Linked DNA regions of Lonchura striata. The protein of the gene in region 1 purifies or fractionates together with the protein of each later gene. This does not show direct contact. Links are inferred from orthologs where the notes say so. Each region holds a gene or a part of one and is shown on either strand. Other genes may lie near its edges.

Evidence for each region.
Region 2: the proteins of MPDZ (region 1) and AMOT purify together in Homo sapiens (affinity purification with mass spectrometry; 4 studies listed by BioGRID and IntAct, with this or other methods). This does not show direct contact. The link is inferred for Lonchura striata from reciprocal best matches to the Homo sapiens genes MPDZ and AMOT.
Region 3: the proteins of MPDZ (region 1) and PLEKHA2 purify together in Homo sapiens (affinity purification with western blotting; 3 studies listed by BioGRID and IntAct, with this or other methods). This does not show direct contact. The link is inferred for Lonchura striata from reciprocal best matches to the Homo sapiens genes MPDZ and PLEKHA2.

Annotation. Positions count from the first base shown.
Region 1 is NC_134642.1:20,457,370-20,468,000, forward strand, and holds the start of MPDZ (multiple PDZ domain protein), read right to left. Parts: upstream 4,695-10,631; 5' UTR 4,542-4,694; exon of another isoform or gene 4,535-4,541; intron 4,372-4,534; exon of another isoform or gene 4,270-4,371; intron 1-4,269. UniProt on the Homo sapiens protein: Member of the NMDAR signaling complex that may play a role in control of AMPAR potentiation and synaptic plasticity in excitatory synapses. Promotes clustering of HT2RC at the cell surface.
Region 2 is NC_134616.1:17,374,605-17,384,965, forward strand, and holds the start of AMOT (angiomotin), read left to right. Parts: upstream 1-6,222; 5' UTR 6,223-6,338; intron 6,339-6,508; exon of another isoform or gene 6,509-6,620; intron 6,621-10,361. Other genes in the region: PGK1 (phosphoglycerate kinase 1), read left to right, coding at 53-167, 454-633, 1,161-1,338, 1,499-1,597, 3,195-3,235.
Region 3 is NC_134634.1:4,557,864-4,567,654, forward strand, and holds the start of PLEKHA2 (pleckstrin homology domain-containing family A member 2), read left to right. Parts: upstream 1-5,894; 5' UTR 5,895-5,962; intron 5,963-8,750; 5' UTR 8,751-8,773; coding exon 8,774-8,914; intron 8,915-9,284; coding exon 9,285-9,341; intron 9,342-9,791. UniProt on the Homo sapiens protein: Binds specifically to phosphatidylinositol 3,4-diphosphate (PtdIns3,4P2), but not to other phosphoinositides. May recruit other proteins to the plasma membrane.

The DNA.
Region 1 (10,631 bases):
TCTGTCCACTTCCGAAACACTAATATGCACAGGTGGCAGAATTTTCTTTAACATTCAAAATTTATTTGATCACCATCTTTCCACTACAATTGCAGAAGGCATTTAGCTAAACAAACAAAAAATGAGTGACAATAATAAGGTGACCCATTTCCATTGATCGTTCTTTCACACCTGATCACTTTGTTTCTACAAAGAAATACAAAGAAACCTATTGTGTTTCACTGATGGATACTCCATCTACTGTTTCACAAAGCCATTTTAGATAATACCTTGAAAACTAATGCTCGTAGCATAGATTAGGAAATGCTCATAGCATAGATTAGGAAACATGCAATGCCAAAGATAGAAAACATAGTAATAGGCTTTGCCCCATAGCTCCTGCATTACTTGAAGTGCTCTGAACATACAGAGGAAATGCCTATCTGAAGAGTGATCTCTAAGCCCAAACTTTGGCTTGGAGTTGCATGAGATTAAATCTATTTCAACTAAGCAGCAAGGTAACCACAACAAGCATGTTATAGCTGCTAAAAAGAGTATTTTGGAACTTCTAATCTAACACTTAGGCCTGTGTTTGTCTGGGCTAGAGATATCCTTTAGTACTTGATTTTTATCCTATGTCATCTCTCTCCCCGGTTTTCTGGTTATCACTCAAATTGGCATATTGTGTATTCTCTGTATGGAGAAGGAACAGAAACTAAACCACACAGAAAACGGAAGATGCTCATTACTGCTAAATTTTCTGCCTTGCCTGTAGATCCTAAGAGCTCTTCCATTTTCCCACTTACCTCCTGAAAACTGGCTACTAACCCCAGGAGGAGAACTAAGGTGGATTCCCAGACTCCAAATAGTCTTGAGAAAATCAAGGCAGTTGAAATGTTCACAGTAAATTGAAAGATCTCATGCTTTTCTATGTATTTTTTGTAGCTACTTTTCCACTGTCACAAATGCAATTTTGCTGTTGCATACAGCATTTTTCACACAAAGGGTGCAAAAACAAATGAAAGAGCAATGACCAATAGAGAAAAAGAGACCAAACAAAAAGAAAAATTAATGTGCACTGTTCCACAAGGAACAAAGCAGATTTCCATTGACTACCTGGAATGTAACAAGCAAACAAGAGATACCTGACATCTACATTTGATAGCGATGCTAATGGAAATTGTTCTGAGACATTCAAAGTAGAAATAAAAAGGCAGTATTGCACAGCTTATATTACAATTCTAAGGACTTTGAAAAGATGTTACTAGCCTCTTGAAATTTAGCAAAATGCTGAAAGCATCAAAAATACATAGAGAGGTAGTGGCTCTGTATGTTGAAGAAAAGTTCTGTGATAGAGCTGAACAGTACCATGTACTTTGAATCAATTATGAAAACAGAATTTTGCATATTCAACTACTTGTAACCTTCTGTATACATCACTTTAATGTATTAAGGAAACTCAAAATGTTTTTCTATTAACTGGCAATCTGTTCACTGTGTATAATTAATAATTTTCTGTAACACTGTAAGAAGCCCTACATCAGCATAAGATATAATATCCACGGTAACTGACATGCTAATAATTGCAAATGGGAAATGGGACTAAACTATCCATAATGATTGCACCTACTGATAAATGTGTGTAATACAGTGTATTCAAAATTGATTTGCAAAGAGTATTCCAAAAACAACAACATAGTAGGGAGTTTCTGGTGGGGTTTGTTTGAATCTTTTTGGTTAATGAAACAGATAATCTTCTACAAAAAAGAAAAAAAAATCAGTAAATATCTTAAATTAAGATCAATTGGAATCTTTCCACATTAGCTTCAGAAACTGAAAAGCATCTTTTTAGCATATGAAGAATATAGGGGACACTACATATACCGAACTGATGAAATACAGGAATGATTAATACTGGCTCTTTATGTTTTCAAGCATAGGCAATTGATAACCATATTCATTAAATTCAATTAAACCTGGTGAAGCACAGATTTTACAGCAGCTGCACCTCAATGTATATTGGATTCTTCACAGAGGTGACAACAGCATACAAAGCCTCTCCAAACAGCTGCCATTTAGCATCAACAAAGAGTCATCATTTTCTCTACAAACTAAAACACAAATTTCTCTTTGTGTATTGACAATAACAAGTTATTTATACAGAAAATCATAACACTGTGTAAGAAGACCACTGTGCAAGGGGTTTCAGATGTAAGAACAGGGTCTGAGTAGCCTACAAAAGAAATATGCTATTATTGCCAAGGCCAAAAATAGCACATTTTTGTATTGACTTGTCAGGAACACCAGCAGTGAAACATGACTGTCCTTATCAATGATAATATAGTATCCTGTCAGCATGGTATTATATTAGCCAAAACTGCTTCACCAGGATGCTCAAATAATGCCTATTAAAAAATGTACCAGATGCACTTCACCAATTTTTTTGTGTGTGTGTGTGAAACATGGAGCAGAGATTAAAAAGTTATTCAAAATGCTTCTCAATATACTGAATAAGTGCTACTTGTTAAAACAAAACCATCTACAGCTATCTGCATGACTGAGAAGATATAAGGCGTTCCTGCCTGAAGAATTCAAAGACCAGGACCCCACCAGGGTCAGGTGGAATAAAAAGATCCATTAGTACCGATGTAGTGCAGTTCTCTTTCCCTGGTGCTGATAGTGATCTAACTTTTCTAGCGCATTTCTTCGTAAAGAGGAGAGAATGTATCCAGTTCCTAGTGAAAAGCTTCTACAAAGCACTAAGGAAACCAACAGTAACACTATATCTAATCATTAAATGTTACATGTATGTTACTGTTAACAAGATAGGAGACATAAAAATATGCAAACAAAAATTGATAACCATTTCAAAAAATTGTGCTCTGTCTAAAAATGCTGCTTGTTAAGGTGGGTATGTCTCATACATACAAAATACATAAATATATTCCAATTGCATTCTTTTCTTTTAGTGTTACAATTACTTTCAATTTCCACAGAAGCATCAAGTAACACTGAAAAACTATTTTACCACTTTCTCCTTTTCCAGTTTAGACTCTTCCCTACCAAGGAGTTGCTGTTTCCTTGGGAAACACAGAAGTGATAGGCAAAGCACAGGGCACCACACAATACAATTTCAAAAACTACAGAATTCAGATCCTTCCTCTTTATCTCAGTAAATCTCTGCTCTCCTACTGCGACAGACTCCTGACACCCTTTCTGGGACCAAAGCCAGTAAGGATGTTTCCTATCCAAGAGTTTATAGTTAAAAAAAAAAAAAAAAAAAATCTAGACATATTAGGACACAAATATATAGCTGGACAATGCAGTGTTTATAAAAGCAAAAGAAAAGGTAAAGGGGAAAAAATTTTTAAACTACAATGTTTCTCAGGCAAACGGCAAATCAAATCCGTTAAATGCTGTACACGGTTCAAAAGGTCGGCTTTGTGAGTTTTTGTTTTTCTTTCTTTCCTCCTAATACTCTTTCCAGTAATATAGGGAGGTGCTGGCAGCAAGGGGGGACACGGGAAACGAACCATCCCTCTCCTCTGAGCAGCCAGACTCATCAAAGGCCACAGCTGCAGGTGGCCCCTTGCCCTCTGCTTCCACCCAGCCCAAGCCGCTACGTTTGAACGCGCCCCGCGGAGCGGCCGGACCGCTACCGCGGGCTCGGACCTGCGGGCAGCCCGACACCACCGCGGCAACAGGTCCCGGTCCCCAGGACACCGCCAGGGCAGCGGGGCCTCGGTCCGGCCCCGGCTGCGAGCGAGAATCGGCGCCCACGGGAGCCGGCCGAGGGCCGCGGCCGCCGGCACGGTCGGTGGCAGCGGCGGCAGATGCGGAGACCTCCTCCCGTCATGAAACACCCGCGGGGGGTAAAACAGGAATGCGTGAGCGGGCAGCAGGGCTCCGCGCCTGTGTCAGGGGAGTCTCGGCTTTTGTTTACGTGAGGACAACGCCCCGCCAGGCCGCTCGAGCCCGCGAGCCGCCCGCCCGCCGCAGGCCAGAGCCCGGCCCGGCCCCGCTCGGCGGCGGGGAGAGGGGATGTGCCGGGACACAGCAACAGGCTCGGCCCGCGGCCCGGGGCTCCACGGCCTCGCCTCCTCCGGCCCCACCCCGGCAAAACCCTTCTGATCAAATGAACAATAATAAATAAAAGTTCGAGGGACAAACGCGTTTTAAAAGGTCGCTTAAACTCCAGCGAGGCGGAGGACCCTTCCCGGCCCGCATCCCCGCGGGACGACTCAGGAGGGCTCGCCCCGCTCGCCCCGCCCGGCCCGGCGCCCTGCTTACCCCAGCCGCTCGGCGAGCCCCACCGCCCGGCCCGGCTCTCCGCCCTCCCCGCCCCCGAGTAGCGGCGCCGAGCGAGCCGCGCCGCGGGGCAGCGCGCTGGGCACGCCCCGGCGGCCTGAAGCCCAACCCCGCACCGCCGGCCGCGGGGCTCGCCGGGGCGGGCGGGGGCCGCGGGACCGCGGGGCACGCTCGGGGCGCCCGGCCCCGTCCCTGCCCGCCTGCAGCGCGGCCCTTCCCGCGAAGTTTGCCTCCCCGCGGAGCGCACGCCTTGCCGGGATGACACCGAGGAGCCGGGCTGGTCCGGTTCAACTCTCCGGTTCGCCTGCGAAGTGAAGGCGGCGGCAGGCTGGTCCCTGTCTCTCTCCAGCGGTGCGGTGCCGCCTGCGGACGGGCCTGGAACGCCAGGACACCGGCCGTATCCCTTCTCGTGCAACAAGATGAGCCGGGCCTGGAACGCAGGAAATGTTTGCAAATGCTATAAAAAAAAAAAAAAAAAAAAAAAAAAAAAATCTTAGATAGCAAACAACACATGATGAAGTTTGACAAAATGATTTATAAGGTCGTGGAATTAATAAAGGAATTACTTTTCCATCGATGCAGCAGCTGGTTATTGTGTTAACTAAAAGTAAGGAAGATGTGTGTTTCACATACATACAAGAATAAAGCGTATAATGCAGAGATGTTTGTAAAGACCACAAAATATCCGAAAACATAAGTTCAGCTAATGGTGGAATTATTTTTGCTATTTGTTAACTTTGCTTCGACTAGCATATGTCATCAAGGTCACTGTTTCCCCTATTCCTTTACATAAGATAATTTTTTTGATGTCGATGTTCTCAGACAGCTCAACTGAGGTAAACCCCCTGCAGAGGGAGATGGACCACAGCTGCTCCACTCGGCGTCTTGGCTCTGGCTTTGCAGAGGCTCCATGAGCTTTTTATCTTCTTGCCTTCTGGCTTAGTTTGTTCTTTTTCCAAACAGATGTTAACCTTAAGAGTCATCATAACTTCTAGTAGTTTGTGGCAGGGGGGTGGTGGTGCTATTTGGTTGGTAGACTTTTTTGGGTATTTGGTGCTTTTTTTTTTTCTTTCCTCACACAAAAATTTTAAAGAAACCTAATGTTATGAAGCTAGAATGGAGTACTGCCCTATCTATTTTCAATAGTGTCAATAAATGCAATCCCAGTACAAACACTTTCTTTAGCAGAACACTTAATGTGTATACTTTATATTTGTACATAGCATGGTTCAGATTTTTTTTTTTTTATTTGGAAAATTAAATTCTGGAAAAGTTTGAATTACAAAACAATATTTCTCTTGCTTGCTCTTATTACAGCTGGTTGATTGAAAAACTCCAAATTAATTGCTGCCTTTTCCTCTGCTGAGTATTAAAATATTTTTTAACAATAGTTCAACTTTTTAACAATATTTCTTCCACCTTTTTAACTAAGAAATGTAGTTTTCAAGATTTTATTCACAGGTTCCATTGTTCAGTCTGACATGAGCTCATAAGCATATTACTTTTTTAATCAAACACAGAGGCTCTGCTGTAGCTAAGACATTGAATGATCTATAACTGTCCCACCAACTTTCTGTGTTACATCAGCTTTTATTGAATTCAGAATAAAATTTTAAAAAGAAGTTACAGTTTGTTTCCAAGTATCATTGTTCAATGAATAAGCCACAGTTGATTAGATAAGTACAAAAAGAAAATGTTATTGTTATTTTTTCCTGTTGCTCAGGCTTTAACTACAGGATATGACTGAAAGCAGATGCAGTGATTACATTAAGTTTATTTGGACAAAAAACTGGTCAATATTAGGTGCAACAGTCCTCACAATGTACAACAGCATCCCTTGTGTAATAATTCTTCCCATTTCAATTTGTTTTTGTATAGGATATACCTTTCAGAAAGTTTTTTAACATACAGACCGCTATTTTAAAGTAGAAATACATTTTAAATTATATTTATATTTTGTCAAATCCTTGTAGTGAGTATATATTAAGTAGTGAAGTTCAGAACATTGTGCTACCTGAGGCCTTGCCATATTAAAAAGATTTGCATAAGTATATTTATGCCAACATAGCTGTACACAGAAACTGAACCCTCTCATAAACACACAACTGTACATGCAATAAACATAAAACTGTAATGGGAATTAGCATCACAGTAATCTAATGCGCTTTTGCACACAGTAGCTGATGACACTGATGAAGAGCCATGCAGGCACAGTTCTAGCAAATAGCAAAGCAAATTGTTATGGTTCAGAATACACAACTGGACTCATGGATATATTTGGTACTACCTTTAGAAATTAATTTGAAAGACATCAGCCATTCATTTTGACTTATTTCTTCCTTTTATTATAAAATAGGACCTCTCCAGCCCCTTCCTAGAAAAAGGTCAAAACGTATCGATTATTTCCTTGGTGTGTTTCATGTGATACACAATGCTTTAAGTTATGTCACAGCTTTGTTAGTGTAAGGAGTGTGGCCATTGGTGGTATATAATCTTGAGGGATCCTTCAAATGTGAGAAAAGAGAATCTACTTTGTATTTCAAGGCTAAATGTTTTAACAAGCTACAAATAGCTTATGTGTCTACAAACGCTTATTCAAGTGATTGTAAATAAAAATTGTAAGCAATTTTTTAAATCATAAACTTTCCTCAGAAGATAATTATTAGTGCAAAATCCATAAAAAATATTGTCAGAAAGGACTCTTAAGGAGAAATGGAAGGGATCTAAATAAACCCTTATTTTATGTTCTCTAGTATTAACATCCTGATATATTTCATTTCTCAGGTCAATTTATAATATACTCATGGTCGAAGTATCAATATTGGATGAGATGTCTGCCTTGCTGATTTACTTAAATAAATAAAATATTAATATTAATGATTTACTGCTTAGATTTATTAGAAAACATGAAGGAAAAGTAAACTGAGAAAAAAAAAGCCTTTACAGAAATAACAGGGGCACCAGAAACAAGGCTATGTGTCCATTAAATCATTCATTAGACTGCTGTTGGGGATGCAGCCTTTTAAAATAGTAATGGGAACAGGATCTAACCAATGAAATGAGAGTCTGGTTCTGCTCTGAGTCACAAGTACTGACTTCACTTTGAGAAGATGCTGCCTATGAAACATATTTGATGATATTTATGACACAGATCCATTTATTCCCTAAAAAAAAAAAAAAGAAAAAAGAAAAAAAAAGTGTTCTTAACAATAATTGTCAATAATTGTTTGTTTCATCACTGTGGGTATCATATTTGGTATGGGCATTGTTATTGCATGGTCCACTGCAGAATGGATAATATATATATATTTTTTTAGGGACCTAGAAGCACCCTGTGAGGGAGTCAGGAATATTTATAAACTTTTTATTTATGTTTGAAGTATTCCATCCCTGAATTTAGAAAATAACATGGAAATGGACCAATAAACACTTTTCATAAGTATTACCTTGATTAAAAATTGGATAAACTTTTCTTTTATAGCCTTACTCTTCAATATTACAGCATAATTTTCTTAATGTATATTCATATGTATATATACATACATAGACACAATATTGTACTTTTCATTACAGCATTTGCTCACCTTTCAAGCTCAAAACCTACTAATTACCGTCTTCCATGTTAGAGAATGATAATTATTTATTATACATAAAATTTTATTCATGGCTATGTAAAGCAAGAGTAACTCATTGCATTACATGGAATTAAGCTGTAGAAAACCAATCTGAGATCAAAGGTAACTATGATCCTAACTGCAATAGCTGCTAATCTAAATATATTAAGTATGCATTTATCCAAGGATGGATCACCATCTTTTTTCATGGAGCTCTTACGAGTAGAATAAGTTATACTAGCAGAAGCATTCAGTATTAAATATAACACTCTTCTTCATTTCAACATAAAAGGTACACTGCAAAAGTCAGATGGTGTAACTACACAGTTACTTCTGTTACTGGAGGTAACACCATGTATATTGTTATACAGAGCAAAAATTGGGAACTTTCTCTTAACTTTTGTGTTTGAAATGTACAGGCTTTGGATTATTATGCTGGCAAGTAGTGAATATTAGTGTCACTTCCTGAAGCATGCATATTTGCAAGAATGGAGCATAGATTTGCATTTTAAAGATTCTTTGGGAAATTGTCTTCCCTGCAGACATACTTCATAACAGTTATTATTGATATTGGAGGTTGCACATACACGTACAAGGGGAAGTATGCCCTGTAAGGTAAAACAGAGTAAAAAAATCATAAAAGGTATGTTAATTATTTATAACTACAAAACAAAATACTTGCAATTATGACAAATTAAAAGGGCACTTATTTACACACAAACAGGATTGTTTAAAGCCACAGACCTTGCCCATAGCAGAGAAGTGAAGCTAAATAAGTGACAATGCATATTGACGTTATCATAAATTATTCAGACACAAAATACCTACAAGGAGTGTCTGGTTTTGTCAGATTGCAGTTTTTTGGGTTTTTTTTTTCCAAAATTGTGGCACCTGGGTCCTTTAACCACCAGGAGTGGCACAGTGGGTCAGGTTTTCAGGAGCCAGATAGCTGAAGGAAAGCTTCCACCGAAGGTGGGAGGACACTCAGGCTGCTTTGATTTCCAGAGGGTTTATTGGAAGGGTAGAGAAGGCAGAGGTACAGGGAAACAACCACTCGGAAGGGGAGCAAGCTCTGAGAGCCTCATCCCGCGCGCGGGTGAGGTATTTAACAATAACAGGGTAGGAGGGTCAGGGTACATTATAACCAGTGAGGGAAAGGCTCAGGGGCGGAGTAGGGGAAAACTGACAGCGTAACAACGAATAGGGACAAAGGGAAGGAGTGGCCAAGGAGAGGGAGCCAACCAGGGTACAGAGAACTGAGAACATTCTGGAACAAAAGGATGGCTTAAACAATGATAGACGCAAGCAAGGGGAAGGGATAACAAGTGATTGACATTGGGGGAGGCGGGAATCTACACATTGGTTATTACCACCCAGGGTATCTCAGGGGGACTGCCCCCTGGACCCCCTCCCACACAAAATGTATTTTGCCATAGTTGCCACATATTTGACAGACCCCACTCTCAGACAATCTAATTTTTAAAGTTTCTCAGAAGTCCTTCAAGGGACGTTGTTGAGAGCAACATGTGATCTGTTATACTTGTCAATGCAACAGTTGTTTCAATGTTTGAAAAGATATAGCAATATCTTATTAGCAATACTTGTGTTAGATATATTAGGAGGTACTGCATGACATATCCTTTAGAGATTCAGAATGGAAGGAACCTGACCTGACCAGTTCAGGAGTTTATGTACAGATGAATTAGTGAAACTAAGTAAAGCACAGCAATATGTACAGAATGATTTGTTGTATGGCTCTGCAATTTATCACTATCCAAATAGTATTTACCTCTGTGTGCACTATTTAGCCAATCAAAGTATCTGATATCTTGTCCTGTGTAGTATATGATGCAGATTGCATTTAAGAGTACACATTACCTTCAAGTCTCTGCTTCTGATCCAAATGTGAAATTGGACATTGTTTTGCTTTTGGTGATGTTCAGAGTTAAAACCTCAGGAAAAAGTACATATCTGAATTTGCAGTCTTAGCCCTTTTGGTCCCAGAAACATTCATTATATTACCCATTTTGGATAAATAGTTCCTTGTGTATTGGACCATGTCTTAGGTTAAAAGATTTAGCTGAGTTGTGTATTTGCCATCTGTTAGAAGTGGGGCAGTTATCTTCTGCTAATTAGGCATTTTTCTTTAGCTCTTCCATATGCAATCCTCTCTCCAAAAAATATATTTTGTTAATGGGCCATTGAGCCTCACTACATGACTGATAAAAATTACATAACTGCATGTAAGATACTCCACCCAGGGGGAGGAGCCTAGCATTCCTACCTGGATAGAATCTGAGATTTAGAACAGCCTTTTGCCACTAGATTCCCAGAAAAGCAGCTGTCTTCTCCCCTAGATTCCCAGAAGAAAACCAGACCCATCTAAACCACCACCAGACCTTCAAAAGAAAACTACACCCTTCTACAAAATCACTCAACAAAACCACATTTATTACTCCAAAAAGACTACAACCACAACTAAATCAAAACTACTACCAACACCCTGAGCAGCAGGGTAACCATCAGGTCATATTCTGACTCTGTCAATAGTCAGAATATTCTGACTCTGTCTTTTTTTTTTTTTTTTACTATTACATTTGTATTTTTAATTTTCCTAGTAAAGAACTGTTATTCCTATTTCCTTATCTTTGTCTGAGAGCCCCTTAATTTAAAAATTATAATAATTTGAAGGAAGGGGGTTTACATTTTCCATTTCAAGAAAGGGTCCTG
Region 2 (10,361 bases), on another chromosome or scaffold:
ACCATAGTCACAATATTCATTATTCACTGTTTTTCCTTTTCTCTCTTACCAGAGCCAAAGTTCAGGATAAGATCCAGCTTATCAATAACATGCTGGATAAGGTCAATGAGATGATCATTGGTGGTGGGATGGCATTCACCTTCCTCAAAGTGCTCAACAATATGGAGGTAATGAAGAGAACAATTCTATGTCTGCTCCTATTGAAGAATGTGGTCTGAATGCCCCTTCCATGTTCTGGGATTGAGCATTGGTTCTCTGCAAGAGTAGGGAGCACTGAGAAATTACTTGACAGTCCCTTGCAAAACTCAGATTGCTGCTATATCTCTCCATGTGCTTTAAGAAAACAATCTTTCAGGAATTGCTGCCTGAGCAGTTTGGGTGCTGACATTCTCTTCTGTCATGTCCAAGAGCTAAACAAACACCTCCCTTATTTTTCCCAAATGTTTCCTTTAGATTGGCAACTCTCTGTTTGATGAAGAGGGATCAAAGATTGTCAAGGACCTGATGGCCAAGGCAGAGAAGAATGGTGTGAAGATCACTCTGCCTGTTGACTTCGTCACTGCTGACAAATTTGATGAGAATGCACAGACTGGGGAGGCCACAGTAGCTTCAGGCATTCCTGCTGGCTGGATGGTAGGTTTGAATGGGAAAGGGAGGAGCAGTAAGGAATCGGGTGGGTAGGACACCTTCTAAAGGAGTAGAAAGAGTAATTGTGAGCTTTGGCAAATGTTTCTGGGGGCTGCCAAGCTGTGTAGAGTTTGTTAGTTTAATGAAATTGAAGCCCTGTTGTTTGTTCTGAATTTTTAAGTCTAAAGTATCTTCTGTGAGATTTGGATTAAACCAGCAAAACTTCCCTCCCAGCATGCAGATCTGAATGCAGTAGAAATCCCTTCTTTTTGACTAGAATTTAAGTAGCGTTGGCAAAGTTTTCTAGCTAAGGCTTTGAAAATTTGACCTTAATTTAAAACTGACTTACTGGTGTTAGGAAGATAAATACCCCCTTGCCAGACTCCACCCTCCTGCAGCAGCTGCTGGCAAATCTGTCTGTGAATACAGAGAAATTCTTGTTTCATGTCTGGGGTGAGGGCCAAGCTTCTGGCTGGGCTTGGGTGATTTTGATCTGGGGGTCAGCAGTGAGTGACTTCTCTCACTTCCCCTAGGGCCTGGACTGCGGCCCTGAGAGCGTGAAGAAGTTTGTTGAAGTTGTGGGAAGGGCCAAGCAAATTGTGTGGAACGGTCCAGTTGGGGTTTTTGAGTGGGACAAGTTTTCCAAAGGAACCAAAGCCCTGATGGACAAAGTGGTAGAAGTAACTGGAAAAGGCTGCATCACCATTATTGGTAAGTAGTTGTGTTCTTCTGTTTCTAAATGCATGGAGGAAGCTTGTGATGGCCAGCACTGTGATAAAAATATTTTCCTCAAGTCCTCCTGCAGCTTGGGCATTCAGTTGGACAAAATGTGAATTTCGTGTGTGTCTCATGGATTCTGCTTGTGCTACAGGTGGTGGAGATACAGCTACTTGCTGTGCTAAGTGGAACACTGAGGATAAAGTCAGCCATGTCAGCACAGGAGGTGGTGCCAGCCTGGAGCTGCTAGAGGGTAAATCCTCTTTTATCTTTATTTGTTTGAGTAAATGTGGAGCTCTGTGTGCTCTACCATGTGTTGGTAGTCAAGAAGGCACAACAGAGGAATGTCTTTTCTGTCCCACCATGTGGAGTTAGTTTTTGAGTTAGTCCCACCATGTGGAGCTTTGGAGCTACAAGCTCCTCTTCTGTTCTGTAGTCCTCACAGAGGAAGAGAGGAAGGAAAATGGAATATTCCTGCAAACAGCACAGTATGCTTCTCCCAGAAAGCAAAAATACTGGGACAGAAAACAAGAGTGGGCTGGATTTTGTCACTGATCCCTCAGGACATGGCAATTAGCCTGTTGAAAATGCCCGGTTCCTGTTGGGGAAGCCTCATCAGAACAGTCTGGAATTCTTGCCAGAAGTCTCTTCTTCCCGTTTGCAATTCCCTTGGTTTTGGGGAGCCCTCTAGTGCTCACCGACAAGCCTGCACGAGGGTACTTGGAATTCAAAATGGTGAGGATTGAAGGGATTCTTGTAACGAGTTCCATTGTTCTCTAAACGACTTTTCATTTCCTCTGGTAATTTGCCGTTTCCCAGTGTGTGTAAATTATCCAACGCTGTCAACTCCTCTGGAGAGGAGGAACTTCAATAAACTGCCTTGCAGCTGCTGTTTGCAGGAGTAAGATGGGAGACAGAGCTTTTGTTTCTGTTGCCTAGGGAGTGATGGGGAAGGGAAAGAATGCAGATGGCTCGAAGGAAACGCTGTGTATTCAAAAGCACAAACTTGTCTAAGTTTTGGCCCAAAATATGGGTTTGTGTGTGTGATCTTTTAAATGTAGCGGAAGTCTGGCTAATTAGAAAAGCTTCTGAAGATGAAGAAAGGGGGGAAAATCCCTGAAAACTCAGCAAACTAGTGAGTTGTGAACAGTGTTAAAATTCAGTCCTGCTGCACAGCTTGAGCATTAGAAGGTTGTTTTTCTGAGGAAAGGCAAAACCAGAGTGGTGTCTGTTCATTATTAAAGTAGGACAAAACACTGAAAATGCTTTAGAAAATGTTGCACTGTATTAATCTAGGCTCTTGTACTCAAAGATGAGACTATTCTTTGATTCCATCAGTTGGAAAGAGACATGTAAATGTCTCAACCTGAGTGTTTTAGTTGTTTAAAGACCTGGGACTCTTAGGAGACTTTTTCTCTTAATTAATTCTTAAAATTTCTACCACACTCCCTAGAATTCTATTTACATGCCACTAGGGACTTAAGAAAGTATGCAGCAACTGGCTAAATCAAATCAAAAATCTGTTTGCCATCAAACTTAATGGAAAAGAATGTTTGGTGTTTGGATCTGGCCCTAGCAGAGACTTGCACAGAAATGTGCCATTATTGTTAAATGAAGTTGATGGCTGGGCTGTGTTAGGAATCTCTCTGCTGACATCTGAGTGCAGCTGTGCTCCAGATGGATTTATTGTGTGGAGCTGGTCCATGGAACCTCCATGGTCAATGTGAAGCCAAACTCTTCCATTTTCAACCTGTAATTCCTGATTCACTTTTTAAAATTATATCTCTTTAAATGTAAAGTTGTTTGAGCAGAGATCCTTAACCCTGCTGCTGTGTTTTATCTGCCCCCAGGTAAGGTTCTCCCTGGTGTGGATGCCTTGAGCAATGTGTAGAGAGCAGAGCCCCACGCCCGGTCCCGTGCACAGCCCCTGAGATCCAGCACTTCAGCGCTTCCGTATTCCAGCTCTGCCAGAGGCAGATCCCAGAATGTAAACCGGAACGGGACCTTGGAGCAGAGAGAGCAGAGATTTTCCTGACTGCAGTTTACATGATGTGGGTTTGTCCACTGTTACCCCACTTGAATTAACGTAGTGAGTTCAAGCTGTTGTTGTGAATTTAGAGTGTATATATTTATATTTTGCCTTTTCAAAGAGTTTAATCCCTGTTAGATGTATATCTCAGAAAGGAGTGCACTGTCCAGCTTCCATCCTAGAGGCATTTTCATCACTTGACACGGTTCAAAAACCAGAGGGGACTCCAGTTTTTTGGAGGTTGGTTGTAATAGCTGCTGAATAAACATATTTCAAGTGCTCCCAGTTTGTATGTTGTCCTTATTTCAGATTTTTAGAATGGACTTCATTAAAATATCTTCTAGCATCTGGAATCTGAGCTATTTTTCCTATTTGCTCTAATTATAGTATTTCTAAATCTCATTTTGTGGTTGTCCAGTGGTCATTATAAGCACCAAGTCATCATCAAAGTGAACTTCATTGGTAAGGAAGTAAATTGCCACAGATGTGCTGGGTGTTAAAACTTCAATGCCCCTCATAATAAAGTAAGATGAAATTTTGAATGTGCAAGTAAAGTAACAAAAATGCAAGTTGAACTGCTTATCATCTGGAGAACTTGCTTCATAGTGGGCAACTACTATATTTCATGTCAATACAGGGGGAATTTTGAAGACTGAGACAGGTAAAAATGAAGTCCCTGACAATTGCATTGTGCCTTTGTTCCAGTTTGTGGTCCTAAAAGCACTGAAAGTAGAATGGTAAATCTGCACAAACACTTGAGGTTTGTGTGTGCCTTCAGCACGTGGCAGAATTGCAGATGCTGTCAGTGAAGGCCCAGCAAGGTTGTTCCAGTGCCTGGAGCTGTAGGCTGCCCTGTGCTGGCTGCAGGGCCCAAATGTGAGCACAGAACCAAACCTGGGACTTCTCCAGCCTCAGCCTGGCCTTGGCTTTGGCTTATGGCAGCAGTCACAGCTCTGCTCTGAGGAGAGGCACTGCTCCAGCTGAACTGCTGGTGGGTCCAGGAAAAGTGAGTGGTGTGGGGCAGCCATGGCCTGGTCTGATTCCCAGTGAAATCCCAGCAGTGGTGCTCCCAGGAGGTTCTGCACAGCACAAAGTATTAAGGATGAACCACAGAGGGAGTCCATGAGGTACGCAGCAGGTCACAACACAGATTCTACTTTTCAGTTAATTTCTATATATGAAATATTACCCAAACATGTATGTGTTAGACCAGATATGCTGCCAAATTTTACCTGGTCATGGTGGGGGGTGTGAATTAAAATCCAATAATGCTGAAGTGTGGTAAAGCTGCTATGAAATCTATAGCTATTAGAGTTTAAAGCTAAAAGTGACTGTTGCAAACAAAGTAGAAACAATGCAAATTACTGCAGCACTGTGGTCTCCTTCTCCTCTTCCTCCCCTCCTTTGTAACTCTCCCAAGCATTGTCTGATGGCACATGAATGATGCACATTTTTGCTGTGCTGTGCTCATGTTTTCCAGGCAGGGGTGCAGACCTCCGACAGCTGCAGGAACGTGGCAAAGAAAGGAGGGGGCTTGTCAGCCACAAAAAGACCATGGATTTTGGAAATCCAGTACTACAAAAACAAACATTCCACCATGTCTTGTAACAGATCCTCGTTGTCTGGCTCTGGAAAACAAGACCTCGTGACAGCACAGCCCATTTTTGTGTCACTCTTGTGCCCCTGTGCTGCTAGACTCCCATGGAGCAATAACAGACTTTCCCCCCAGCCCTCCTTTCTGGGTGTTTACTGTGGAAGATTGGTGTGTGGCCACTACTTCTGCTGGCTTTTTTCTCTCTCCATCAAAAGCAACAAAACAAAGCTATCTGTAGTTAAATACAGCAAGCAGTAATGATGCTCTGTACACACAGATGTCTCTGCTTAAAACCATTTTTCCACCTGACTTTGGATGTTCCCTGCTTACATCTCTAAAATATCCTTTTGTTTCCACACGGCTTGTTCTGTGCACTGTTGTGTTCAACACAGGAACCATGGCACGGTAGGGCCAGAGAGATACTCAGCTTTAAATAAAAATAAATTGTAAATAAAAATGGATGAAACACATAAACATGAGACCATATGAGCTGAACACTTGATGGCCAGCAGCTGAGTATTTCAGTGACAGATTTTCCAGGGCCTTTCTTTTAAGTTTTGCCTGCTAATACTTCTTTGATAGGTCAGCTTTTACATTTTTCTTGCTTTTATTGAGAGTTTCTGGGGCAAGAAATCATCCCTGTCGGAAACATTGTGGAAGAAAGATTAGAAGCAAAGCTGTTGCAGAAAGCCCATGATGTAATGAAGTTAATACATACAGCAGGTTTAAGGGGCTGATACTAAGAGCCAGGTGAAATTAAAAGTAAAGAACTTAAATCCTTTGGACACACCAACCCCATGGAACACTGCAGACTGGGAAGTGGAAATTGCCTGGTGGGAAAGGCCCTGGGGGTGCTGGCCATCATCAGCTCAACAGGAGCCAGGCGTGCCAGGTGGGCAAGAGGTCAATGGCACCTGGCCCGTCCCAGCCATGGTGTGGCCAGCAGGACCAGGACAGTGACTGTCCCCTGGCTGGGCACTGGTGAGGCCACTCCAGTGCTGGGGGCAGTCTGGGCCTTTCACTTAAGAAAGGACCTGGAGGGGCTGGAGCATGTCCAGGGAAGGGAATGGAGCTGGGAAGGGGCTGGAGCACCAGCAGAGGCTGAGGGAGCTGGGAAGGGGCTCAGCCTGGAGAAAAGGAGGCTCAGGGGGGACCTTGTGGCTCTGAACAGCTCCTGACAGGAGGGTGTGTGTCGTCCTCTGCTCCCAAGCAAGCAGTGATAGAGCATGGGAGGTTCAGGTTGGATATCGGGAAGAATTTCGTCACGGAAAAGGTCGTTAAACATTGGAAAGCGCTGCTCAGGGAGGCGAGCTCCCCATCCCTGGCGCTCTCCAGGGGACGGCCGGACGTGGCACCCAGCGCTCTGACCAGGTGGGGCTCTCACAGGCTGGGCTCGCTGCTCTCAGGGTCTTTCCCAGCCCCGCTGGAGCCGCGATTCCCCCGGGCCGAGGCGGCTGCCCGGCTCCCCCGCCCGTGCGGAACTACAGCTCCCGGCCGGCACCGCTCGCCGGCCCGCCGGGGGATGCCGGGCGCCGTAGTTGCAGCCGCCTGCTGAAAGTTGCCCGCGGCACCGGCGGGGCCCTGGCCGGAGCTGCCCGGCGTGGCGCGGCCGCCATGGATGTGCGGGCGGCCGCGGGGCCCGGCGCCCGCGGGGTAAGGGCGAGGCGCGGTGAGGGCGCGGGAAAGGCCGGCGCTGTCCCCTCGGGCACCGCCCGAACGGGCCCCCGAGGCGGGGCAGGGCTGCCGGGTGTTCCCTCACGGGCATCTCCTCCTTCCCCGGCGCTGTTGGTGGCTGCGGGGAGGGCTGGGCGTGGGGCGGCTCGGGGGCTGCCGGGGCTGTGTGGGTGGGAGCCGGCCCTGCTCCCCTGCCCGGCTCCTTTGTCAGCTCCAGGTGCTGCCGGGGTGTTCTTTGGCCGCAGGCTCTGCCCCAGCCGCCAGGGATGGTCCCTGCTCTGCCTTCTCCTCCCGCCGGCCCCAGCCACCTGCAGGAGCTCGCCCGCACCTGCCCCGGCTCCGAATTTAACAGAAGCGTCTCCAAATCCTCCCGCTTTGATCTTCGAGAGAGAGAATTTGGAGGGTGATAATCCCCAAAGGGTTAAAAGCTTGCATGCGTGCCTTGGTTCGGCCGTTCCGCTGCTGCGGTTATTGTGCATTTCATTCACAGAGTGAGGCAGGGCCATAAATATTCACCGTGACTTCCACCGCATGGTCTGAGCAGCTCAAACCCCATCGTCTCCGTTCCCGGATACTTTTTGGGCAGGGTGAGGGCTGGGAAGCCAAATGGTCACTGTGGAGGAGCTGTGGTGGACACAGGAGTTGGGGTGATGCTGAACACCAGCTGCTGGTCTCGGTGCTGGCACCAGCCAAGGGCTGGCTGCACATGGTGGCACAGCCCAGCACTCCCAAATTTCAGGCTCCTGGGGACTGTTCAGACTTCTCACAACACCCAGGCCCCGACTCTGGCATCCTCACCTGCCCTCTCCCATCATAGCATGCATAAAGAAGATCTCCACTCAGTTTTCAAGTTAAAATTTTCAGCATTGCCTCTGATAAATGATTTTCTCAGCCCCAATGCAGTATAAAATAGAAAATTCCATTTTAGTTAATTTTTCGGTTTTATTCCACTTTCTAATGATAATTTTTCATTAAGCATCTAATCACATCCTAGCATTTCTCATCAGCAAGGCTCAAGGTGCTTTACAAAAGAGGGAAAAATATGATTATTCTGATTATCCTTATTAAGGCTTAGGTTTTGGGCAGCTTCTGCATATAATATAGGCCCATAAATAATTAAAAGTTCAGTCTAAGAAAGGAGAAATCCCCAGTTGTAAACTGAAGTGCCACACTGAAGAAGGCAGTGTGTTACAAGGCATGGCCTTGTAACCTAATCTCCCTGATCAGAACAGTATCCCATTAACCCACAAATCTCCCCTCTCCTGACCTGTCTGCCCCAAGGACAGGTAATTCCATGTGCAGGATCCAAGGGAGGGAGTCTCAGTGACCAAAAGCAGCCTGGAGAGTGTTCTATTGAAGCTCCCTGGTGTTCAAGCAAAGGTCTTGTGTTCACCAAAATATCCAGCCTGAGCTGAGCAGGGTTGGGCATAGAACTGATGGAGTATTTTAGTAGAAATAGGGTTCAGAAATAAGAGCATTGCTCAAACTGGAGTCTAGAAGATATAGAAAAAGGTTATGGCCTGGATCCAGTTTATCTACATCCTAAATAGAATTCTGACCTGAAACTTGCTCTGAGCTCTTTGTCAAGTTTCATCAAAGTTGGACATGGGCTTTCCTGTTTGGGAATTTTGTTTGCTTGTGCTAAGCTGGGTCTGTGTGTCCCGACACCTGCGTGTGCTGCTGAGGGCTGGCTACATCAGGATCACTGTTTATCCACATAATTCAGCAGCAGGACTACGTGGATGAAGTCCTTGTTCTCATTCCAAGTACCTGCTGTCACATCTGAGTTATTCTGTGGGAATGTTTTTGTTCTGATCTGTGGTTACCCAGCGCTCAGCAATGACCTAATTGCAACCTCCTCGTTAGGCAGAGAAATTTCTGAGTTTGGCTTTGCAGTTCACCTTCTCAAGCAAGTAAAATCTCTGTTCTGTAACACCATCTGCCAGCACTTGAGCCCAGCGTTCATGAGGGATCATGAGGCTGATGAGGGCAGTGTGTGTCTCTGCAACAGCTTCTGCCACTGTAGCATTGCAATGTCTAACTCAGAGCAGGTGTACACCACGTAGTCAATGAAAATTCCTGAGTCTGGTGATCTCCAGCAGCTTTCTTACCACTAAAGGACTTGCACCTGTGTTGGTGTGGTGTTGTGCAATTTCCTGGTAAGTTGGTAATGTAAGAGCAATTACAAATAAAGCTGAAAAAGCCCAGACTGCCTTTTTCTCTAAGACTTAATCTTGGCAATGTTGGTGTAATTTTCAAATGTAACTCAAAGGCATGCTGATTGAAATGAGTCCCAAAGTTCCTTAGGGTCTTGGACAGACCTATATATTGATATATATGTGCTGTAATACCTTCATTTGTATCATGTTGACTGTAGGTCAGTCTCATTGCTGGAAGCTCGGAGTAGTGAGGCATGGCTGGAGCTCCCAGTAATGCTGGTGGTACTGGGATGTGCTGCACATGGCAGGGGAGGACCTGCAGAAATGAGGAAGCTGTGAGTGCAGACATTTTGAGCAGCAGAATTTTGAGGGAGGGTGAGGGGGAGAAATAGAGAAGTCAGTAATAAAAACTAAACCATCACCAGGGTTGTAGGTAATGATGGGTTCCCTAAGAACATTCTTGTGTGCTGCTTAGGAGAGAGAGAAGAGCTTCCCTGGAGAAGTGCATTTCCACACAAGCTTTTGGTTTCTTCCCTTGCCCATTTGTGGAGCACTCACATCTTTCTCTAACCCTGCAAGACATTCTTGTTTCCTTTCATTTACCATGAAATAAGGAGATGAGGCACTGTTGGGCTCCCTTATTGACTTAACTTGTGGGAAGCTCCACGTAAATCCCTGAATTTCCCAGTCCTGACACCCAGGAGGTGTTTGTGGAGTCGAACACAAGGTGGAGGTTCCTGCACAGGGAGGGTTTGATGCTGTCCCAGTCCTGAGCCTGTGACTCTTAATCCTGCCTTGCTTTGAAGTCTGAAGCTCAGGAGTCTGCATTAATGATCAAGGGGCAGAGCTGAATATGGAATTCCTATGGCACAAAGGTAAAGGTGTGGGTTGGAATGTGGGAAGGAAATATTTAAGAGCAGACTGGCATGTATAGTTAATAATATTAAAAAAATAATCATGTTAATGTCCTGTAGGTGCTCAGGTTCTCAAGGCTTTGAGCATCTTCTCATCCCATGTAGATCACTGGTCTCTGGCTGGATCCTGTCATGTCCACAATATTAAATCCCTTGAAGAGCAGAAAACTTCAGGTTTGAAAACTCTTTTTCCTCTGCAGTGGGAAACTTGCTCTGCCCCCTTAGGCAGGAATGTCTGTTCCTCATGCAGTGTTTCAGAGCTGTGCTTGGCATTTGGCTGTCACTCTGTCCCACTCTGCCAAGTGTCAGTGATCCCTGAATGCTTAAAAAGTTCCTTGGGACTCTCAGCAGATGTGAAGCTCTTCTAAATTTGAGATCTGTCAGGAGCAGAATGCATTAGAACAATTATTCCTGACTTTGACTTACGACTATGTTAAATCTCACTTATTTTTACCACAGAGTGTGTTCTTTTTAAGGCTCTGAGCTGTTTCTCTAATTCAGGAGCTGTTATTCCCAATTTTTACTTCATAAAGGAAAAGAGTCAAAAGGGCTGTGTGTCTCACTACACATAATATACAGATATATACAGCATTATGAAGTCTTATGTATTTTTTTTTTTTGTGAACACAGGATTTCTTCATGTATTT
Region 3 (9,791 bases), on another chromosome or scaffold:
TGCTCGGTGCTGTCCTGGCTCAAGGCAGGCTGAGGTCAGTCTCTCCCTGGGGCGTGGCTCTGGCCCTTGGAGCTGATGGATAATTGCAGAGGTTTTGATTTCACCCCTTGCCACTTCCCTGAGCCCTGACCTGCACACAGCAGTCACTGCTGTGGCTGTCCCCCGTGGGCTGTCTGCAGAGCACGGCTGCACCGTGATGAGCCCCGGGACACAGTCCTCCACCCCTGTCCCTGCCCCCGGTGCCCCCCGGTCCTGCCGTGCTGCCCCCCTCACCCGGTGCCGTTGTGCTTCTGTGCCCGTCTGCGTGCACCCAGCCTGGGCAAAGAAGATTCCTACGGAATGATTTATTAACTATAATATGGTTATAGTTCCAGATCTATAAATACATGCATAGTGGGTATAGTTTTATAATAGAAGGCATGTTTGCCAGTGGGCAGGACGGTTGCACCTCGAGGTGATGGTGCTGGTGCCAAGGTGATGGTGTCGTTGTGACTGGCACAGGGAATGGCAGGTCCCTGTACATGGTGTCACAGCTGGCTGTGTTTGTTGTCTGTTCCTCGCAGTAGACTTTAAATGCCCTTTTGGCAGCAGCAGGCCCTGCCCCTGCTGCTGTGTTGCTGTTTGCAGTGTGTGTTTGCCAGCAGATCTGTCTGTAACCAAGTGCCAACCAGTAACCCCCAACTACTGATCCCTTCCCCTGTCCCTCCAGTGTGGCCTCCCCCAGGCAGGAGCTTCCTCTGCATTGGCTCCTACCCCTCTGCTTCCAGCCATGTGTGTAACTGCCATCGCCATCGGTTTTATATGTATGATAATTTCCCTTTTATATGTCAGGTAAATATTTGTAAGAGTTATACTCACACAAATGAGATTATTATAATGATTACTAATATATTTTTTCCATGTTTCATCGCCTGAGTAAAAACTGTGTTTATCACTCTGGAAAGCTTTCTTGGTGTTTGTGAGGTTGGTGAAGAGTTTTGGGAGGACTTGGCTTTACTTTGCAGAATGGGCTGTGTTCTGCCTGTCTTTATTAATGTGGTTTACATGGCAGTTGGTTTCAAATAAGTACAGTAATCATGTGTTCCTGAAATCTGCATTTCTGACCTCTGAAAGTCAGAGCTGGGATGACTTTTCTGGCCCTGTGGCTCCCAGCACACGGTGATGGTAGTGAGCCATGGCAGGGAGCTCAGACAGCAGGAAGAGCTGAGGCAAGCAGGATGGCAGGCAGGAGAATCCTTGGCCTAATCCCTGCACTGACCCTGACAACCCTCTGAGGCCTTGGGTAAATCCTGCTGGGAGGCTGGAGCCCTGAGGGCTGGGGGCTGCAGGAATGGTTCCACTGGGCTCCCAGCCCTGTAGGGGTTTTCTGTTGTTCTCTTGCACATCTCTTTTGGTGGGTTGGAAAATCTGAAGTGGTTTTCCCCAACTTGGCTGCTACTCATGATGAGAAAGGGACTTTTCTCTGGATGGAGCAGGTGGGCTTGATCAAAACCTTTGAAAGCCACCACGAGGTTCTGTGTCCAGAGACAGTTTCCAGAGCAGGATATGGAGCAGAGCTCGGCCCATCCACTGGCACCAGTGTGCTGCTCTGCCCCAGTGCCATTGCCCAGCCCGTGTCCTTGGGGAGCTGTGTCCTGTCCCCCAGCTAAGATGGCATTATCCCAGCCCCAGCACTCTCCCAAGCAGATTAGCTGTAAGACCTTAAGACAAAACAGCAGCTACGCACCCCACACTGCACACTGCTGAGGATGCCTGCCCTGAAGACCCTGCTGGCCCTGGCCATCGTCACGTCCCTGGCTGGAGAAAGTAAGTGTCCCCTGGCTCCAGGCAGCACAAGGTTGGGTAAATCGCTGTAGCTGCTCTTGCGCTTGCTGCTGCCCTGTCCCTGTCACCTGCCTCGGGCTGGTGTGTGCCCAGCGGGCCCCTGCCCCACGCTGCTCCCACCCCTGCAGGAAAATAACGTTTTGGGGAGGAGGGTGGCTTTCTCCTCTGACTAGCACCAAGAGAAGCCCCTGTCCCTTGCCTATCTGCCACTGGCACAAAGCCTAGGCATGCTGTGCCCAGCAGGGAGCACAGAGTCTCTGGTCTCCAGCTCTGATGGAGGCTCCTGAGCCAAGACCCTGCAGCTTCTCTTGGCTAGAGCTGTGTTTCCCTGTTAACTCGTGGTTCCTCCAAGGCATAATCACAAAAAGCCATTGTAAAAGGTAGGGGGGAAGCTGCACTGCTCAGAGCAATGCCATGGAATCGGGGCAGCTCTGGACACTTTCAGGAACTTTGGACCTAGGCAAGAAGAACACGACTGTATTTTTAGCTCAGGGCAGATGAAAGGCTGTCCCGTGCTGTGGGGAACAGCAAAGGAGACACGGCAGAGCCCAGCAGCGGAAGCCGGGCCATTGTGGGTTAATGGAAGGCGCTTACTGGCATCTGACCCCATGAAATCCCAATTTTCCCCATTCACGGGTTTTCTCTCCGAGATGAAGGTGGAAGCTCTGGGCCGAGCCGGCCCCGCTGCCACGAGAGGGCTCTGCTGTCAGCAAAGCAGAGACGAGTTCCACCTCCAGCACCAGCGCTGGTTTATCCGGCCCCATCAAAACCGAGGATTCGTCATTTCAGGCAGGAGCAGGATCTTCAGGTTTGGGTTTTTCTGGGGTGTGTGTATGCTTGGAGGGGTCACACAGCTCTTGCACCACTACCAGCTCTGACGCACAGGAGAGAGGGGCTGGCTGCTATCCAACCTGCCTGTGGACCTCCTTTAAGGACGATCCGGAGATGGCTCGTCCCTCCCGACTCACATCTGCCTGGCACTTTACTGCCTGTCACCCTGCTTGTCCCCAGGCCGCACCCTCGGGCTGAGCTTCCGAGTACAGTGCAGAATGTGGGAGCTGCTCCCACAGGTTGCATGGATTCTCCCTTCTCCCTCACAAAATATTTATTAAAATGAAATCTGGCACAAGAAAACAAAGATCTATGATGGTTTTAAAATATGATGTCTACCTATTTTTACTGTAAAAGGAATTCCAGGACTATCAGGGAGTCTTTGCAGGGCAAGGACTCGGCAGAGCTCATCTGCCAAGTTTAGCTCTCATCATTTTGAGTCACACTTGGAAGAGTTTTGCATTAATTTTGTGGACAGGTGAGGCTCAGTCCTGCATCCTGCTGCACGCCATGGCAGGCCTGGCTCACGGCTCGATTCTGTCTGGTGCCAGCCCTCACCCGTGACCTCCCTTGTCCCTGGGCCAGGGGCCACCGGTGTCTGTGGAGACCCACAGACTGTCGGGGCACTGGGGTCTCTGGGACAGTGCATTGCTGTCACTCCTCCTCCTCATCTTCACCCAGGCAAGGCTCTGAAATGCCACAGATGTGTCGCATCCAACGAGAACGACTGCAGCCAGCAGGGATCGCACAGCTGCCCCCAGTACGCCGACGCCTGCTCCACGATCACCGCGCCCAGTGAGTCCCTTGGCTGGAGGGCCTGGGGGCTCCAGGGGGAAGGGGGGTAGGACCGTAAGGTCTTGGAGGGGACCAGAGGGGCTGGGAGTCGGAGGGCGAGGAGAAGCAGGGAGCCTGAGGCAGAGCAGGCGGTAGCTTCTTGCGGGTAGGAGCGCAATCCTGCAATTCCGCACCCGTGCCGCACCGAGGTGTTCTTTATCCCGTGCCGGTGAAATCCGGGTTCCCGGGAGGGCCTGACCCGTGTCGCCTTGCCTTTCCTTGCAGACAGCGTCATTAAGTCCTGCTCCTACAAGTCCTTCTGTGACCAGGCGCGCCGCGGCGGCTCCGGCGGGGCCACCGTGCGCTGCTGCTTCACCGACGACTGCAACGGGCCGGCGCGGGGCTCCCGGAGCGGCGCGGCGGCCGCCGCGCCGCCGCTGCCCGGCCTGCTGGCCGCCGCGCTGGCCGGGACGCTGCTGCTGGGCCGGCCCTGAGCGCCCCGCGGCCCGGCGCGGCTGCTCGCTGCTCTAGCCTAGGGACGCGGGACGGCTCCCATCGCCGCCAGTCCAATAAACGCTGCCGCTGAGAACCGCGTTCGCAGCCTCTCCTTGGCAGGGAAACCAAAGCCGCGAGAGAACGCGCCGAATCGAACCGGTTCGGCTTCTGGTGCCGCCCCGGAGGGCTTCGCTGGGCAGAGCCTGGGATCCCAGCGCACCTTCCCTCCCCGCTGCTCCAACAGAGATGCTTTTGGGCTGCTTTCTGCAACCCGAGGCTCGCCTGTGGAGAGACGTTTCGGTGGCTGCTAAGACATGGGGGGGATGTGAGGCTGCTCTGTGGCCTGGGGCTGTAGGTGGTCCCACAACTCAAAGCTCTGCTAGAAGGACCCCCAGGAGTGGCCCGTGAGGCTTCCTTTCGTGAGGGAGAACGGTAAAAGTGAGTGAACGGTGAGGAGAACAGAAAGGGGAATGATGAAGGGAGCGAAGGATGGCTGGGACCATGAGAATTTGACTGCAGGAACTGTAGTGCAGGGGGAGCAGCAAACAGCAGCTGTCTGCTGGAGTCTGCCTCAGTCAGGACATGAGGAAAAGGGGAACAGGTACTGAAACTGAAAAAAAGCAAGTTTGAACAGAAGAAAATAAATAATTCAGCATGTGCGGATCCAGCCGTAGAACTCACAGCTGGAGGATGCTGCTGGAGCAGAGACCTCGGTGAGTGCTGGAGGGTGAGAGGGTCAGAAGTCCTGCAGAACATGGACATAGTCTTGTGAAGGTCAACGTGTGCCTAGAGGGGCGCTGGGCTGCTGCCGCTGGAGCGGAGCACGTGGATAGCAGATTATTCCGTGTCTGCTGTGCATCCTGCTATCCTGCCCTCCCCGGGGCACACAAAGGGTGTTCTGCGCGGGGCTCTGGCTGCTGGTGGAATCTCCAAAGGTCCTGGAGCAGAGACGTGCCCTGCCCCAGACTTCCCTCATGTTCCCTCATCTGCTGATGGGGTGTCCCAGTGAGTGCCAGGGTCTGCTTGCACCCCCCCACATGTTACAGCAGAAAAACGCATTGGAAAATCTGGGAGAGCTGCCAGGCTCCCGGAATGAAGGGAAAGCAGCGCTGTGAGTCGCTGCCGTGTGACCGTGCCCGGAACCCAGTTCTGCCCCGGGCTCCGACGGGTCACAAGGGCTGCGAGAGCTATGAAAATACTCCGTGGAACAGTTTAGTCTTTGCAAAGGGAGGGATGGGAAGAGAGGGAGGCAGCGATTGCGGGGCAGGGCTCGAGATCGCCGGGATGCCGGGAGCAGGCAGGCAGCAGTGGGAAGGAGCGGACCAGCGTGGGACGGACAGGGGCTGCGGGTGTCCGTGAGCAAGGTCCCCGCGTATCCTCGGCGGCGGCAGCACCACGATCGGTTTCACCCGCGCCGGGAGAAAGTGCGTCGGGGCCAGACGGAGTTTCGTAGAGAAAGTGCGGCTTCCCCGGGCCGGCACGGGGGAGGCAGCGGGTGTTTCCTGCTCCCAAATTCACCCCGAGCTCACTCCCAGCAGCAGCTTCCCCAAGAGATGCTATTGCACGAACGGCGCCCCGAAGTGGGCGGCTCATCTCCGTCAGTGCCAGCCTCAAACACCGACCGAGTGGTTTTGTGTCGGGTCTGGGGGAATTCACCGGGGGGGGCCCGAGCTCGGGGCACGCAGAGGACCCGCAACAGGCTGGCACTGGGAGCGCACCGGGCCGCCCCCACCCCTCCCCGCGGCGGCGGCCGGGGACCGCGGCAGGTGCGCGGCCGGACGGCGATGGGACGGAGGGACGGACACCGGCCCCCCGCCCCGCGGAGCCGCCCCGCGCCCCGCACTCACATCCGGGGCCGGGTTTGCTAATGACAGACGTAATTAACCCGGAAAGAAGCGGCGGCGGAGCCAGGGCACACCCCCTCCGCTGCCCGTCCGCCCTCCCAGCGCTGCCCGGCGTGCGCAGCGCCCGCAGCCCGGCCGGCCGCCCCCCGCCGCCCCGGCCATGCGCGGGGCGCGCAGCCCAGGGACGCCGCGGGGTAAGTGCCGCCGCGGGGACACGCGTGGCCGCCTGCAGGCAGCGCTCGCCCTCGAGAGACCCCGCGGGCCGGGCTGGGAGCCCTCGCTGTCCCGTCCCCGTCCCCCGGCCCCTGCCCCCGAGTCCCCGCGTTCCCGGGCTGCCGGAGCGGCTGGAGGCGTCCGTGCCCCGCGGCGCCGGGGGCCGCTGGGGAGGTGGTCCCGGGGCTGGTCCCCTCGTCCTTGGCGGAGGCTCCGGTTCCTGCAGCTGGATCATCCGCGCCGGGGCTGGAGTCGAGCCCTCCCGGTGCGAGCGGCTTCTGCTCGACGGCTCCTGCAGCGAAGCGTCAGGGGCAGGGGAGCGGGAGGCAGCGAGGGGGGCGGAGGGGTCCCCGTGGAGCTCCGGAAATGCTGCAGGCACCATCCTCGCCGAAAGTCTGGGGATGGAGGCAAGCGTGGGGCGGGGATCAGGGGTTTGCAGCTATTCTGTGTGTTCTCCGAGTCTCTGTGGCAGATGAAGAGCTGTATCCAGCCTCCTCCTCCCGACAGGCTGATAGTTTCATTAAGGCAAATATCTGCAATTAGTAGGAGAGAGTTGCTGGGCGCTGCCTACCCCGTCTGTCTCGTGGGTCGGGACAGACGTCGCGGGGTGAGCTCCGGGAGCTCCTCTGCAGCCGCAGGTGAGAGGAAGTGGAGCTGCAGCCGCTGCGGGCACTGGGCAGCGCAGGTCCCGCCCTGCTGGCATGGAGAGAGGGTCGTCCTGCACCGGCACGGCTCGGGTGGACAGGTGTGAGAGAGGAGGGCGTTGTGGCTGCCCACAGGTGCGATGGGTGCTCTGGAGGGAGGTGCCGAGGAGATGCCTCCCGGCAGCACAGCTGTGATGCTCCAAATGCCGGGTCTCCCATCGCCTCGCGTTTTCCTGCTGCAGAGTGCTCCTGGCTTGCTCCTGTGGCTGTAGCTCTGCCGGGGCCGAGGAGGGCACCCTGAGGTGCTTCCTGGAAAGTCTGGCTGTGTGGCTGCACACGAGGCCTCTGAGCCACCCCTGGCTGCAGCGGGGACCTGGGTGCTGCATGGACAGTGCCCTGCCCCTCCTGCCTCTCCCTGAGGAGCACTTCCCTTTTGCTCAGGCAGGCAAGGGGGTGGTTTTCTGTAAATGTTTTTCTGTAGCCCAATTGTTTGCCATGTCATTCACTGAGTCAGGAAAAGGGTGTCCTCTTGGGTGAGATATTGTGATTGAAACAGCTGGCAAGTTGGTTGCTTTACAGGTAGGAAAGAGTCCTGGAAATTTCTGATACACTTCACCAGGAAACTGAGCATTTTCTGGCCCTCCTGGATTTCCTGAGCAGGGTGCCCCACATGTCAGCACAGCTGGAGATGCTACTTTTATAATTTTCTTATGGAAAAGTGCAGTTCTTGGTGGTTCCAAAGACTGACCATTTGTGTTGTGTGGGCAGTGGGATGAGAGGGGACAGGAACCCAGCTGACTTGGTGCAGAGTGTGGGACAATCCCAATCTCCTCTCCCATCCCATCTCCAAGTGCAGCCTGAGGTCGGTGTGCACAGAAGGGCTGAGCTGGTTTGTGGTCTCCCAGATGAGCCCGTGGTAATGAAGGATGGTGGTGGGGGGACACAGGGACTGGGGGCTCATCTCTGTGCTGCCTGTGGCACCTTCTGCTCCTTCCTCATCTGTCGCCTTAGCAGAAATCTCTAACCTTTGCTGTGAGCAGAAAGAAGGGTTTATGAGGTTTGGTTTGAACGTGTTGGTTGAAGGTACCTAGGGATTGGCTTTCCATGTGCTTCCCCACCACAAAAATAACCCCACAAAAAAGCAGTGAGACTTGAAGTGCCCTCAGAAACCTTTGTGCCAAGGCGCTGTCGTTGGTCTAAAACAACCTCTCCCCCTGCAGCAGCACGGTCCCCATGAGCCAAGATACCATCTCTGAAATGGTGGTGATAGATTGAGATCCTGACTGCAGGTTGACTTGTTTTCTGCCCCCTCTACCTTTGCAGCTGCACCGCAGCTCTTGCACAACCCTCACCTCCCCGGGCCCCACTCCACTGCAGCTCAAAAATAGTATTTCCTCCTTTTCTGCATGAGTTCTTTTATTTGTGTAGCTCTGCTTCTGGCACCTGCGTGATCACCACTCTCCTGCCAGACAAACCACACTGGGTTCACTGACATCCTTTGGGTAACGGCTGCTCTCATCCCTGCCCTGCACCCTGTGCCGTGGGGAGACAGCTCTGCCCGGGCAGGGGACATGTCCTGCCCAGCCTTGGGGTGCTGGTTCTGCTCCCCACGCAGGCTGGAGGTGATGACAGCGTCCCCACTGCAGCCAGGGGCCCTGACGGAGACCTCCCGGCTGGGGGGCAGTGCTGGGGGGGGTCCGTGCCCTGGCAGACCTGGGGACACAGCGTGGCCCTGCTGTGATGGGTCATTGTTTTCCCTGCTGACTCGACATCCTGGCTGCACAGATTTTCTGCTGGAGTTGCAGATTGTTCCCCGTTTCCTGGGAGTGTGCTCAGGCTCCCTCTCGCATGCTGCTTTGGGATTTTTTTCGCCACAGTTCTCAGGGATCTGGTGTCTTGTGTCAGATCCTTTGTGGCTGCTCTGTCCTCCCTCATGGGGTTTGGTGGCTCTTGGGGCTGGGAGTGGTGGGTTGGTTGTTGTCCCTCCCATCTCCCTCTGGAGAGCTCAGCTGTGGCCGAGAGGCTGCGCTGCCATCCTGGAACACCTGGCTGGGACGGGGTGGGTGTGGGGGCAGTTCCCTGGGGCGCAGAGCACCCACCTCCCCCTCCTGCCCCCACCCCACAGGGTGATGCCAGAAGGAGCCCGGCATGCCGTACCTGGACCGACAGAACCGTATCTGCGGGTTCCTGGACATTGAAGAAAATGAGACCTGTGGCAAGTTTCTGCGGAGGTATTTCATCCTGGACACCCAGGCCAACCACCTCCTGTGGTACATGGACAATCCTCAGGTGGGCACGTGTGCCGGGTATGTCCGTAAAGTTGTCAGGGAGTCTGTGGGCACGTCCCAGCCTCCCTGGAGCAGGCATCTCCTCCGGGCCTCCCCAGGTCCCTGCCTGCTGTGTCAGTGTCCTGTGGCTGAGCGTGGTCATGACCAGGCTCCAGCCCTTCTGTGACCTCTGTGGTCTCCAGGACTGTCCCAAGGAGCAGAGCAGAGCTGGTCTCCCTGCTGAGGGGTCTGAGCTGGATCAGGTGCAGCACAGGGAAGTGGCTGAGGACAGCAGCTGCTGCCTGACCCCAAGGGCACAAACGACAGGCTGGATTGCCCTCGCCACCTTCTCCCTGTCATTTACCTCCCACTGCTCGTGCTGTGTGTTGCAGAACCTGGCCATTGGAGCAGGTGCTGTTGGATCTCTGCAGCTGACCTACATCTCCAAGGTAATGTTGGGGTGGGGCAGAGGGAAGGTGAGTGCTCCCTGCTTTCCCCTTATCCTTGTGGCATTCACAGGAAAGGCGATAGCTTGCCCTGGAAGCACCCAAGGCCAGCTCCTGGTCCTGCCTGGGCTCGTGGCCATCTCCCTGGGATGAAGCCTGAGTGGGGCTGTGGGAAGCAGGGAGGCACGCCGTAGCACAAAGATCCTGGTGCCCGGACCACCAGGATGGCCACCAGTTCATCTTCACCCGTGGAGTGGTGAGGGATGGGGTGAAATGCTAGGCTGCAGGAGGAAGAGGAACTGCTCTGCTGTGAGGAAGGACACGGGGTGGCCGGGACTGAGTAGGGACAGGAGCATGGTGTCATCATGAGCTGGGTACGGAGCTTGCAATCGGCTGGGCAGTGCTACGGGAGCTCTCCCCTGTGCTCAGAGGGCAGCACCCTGAAGGATGAGA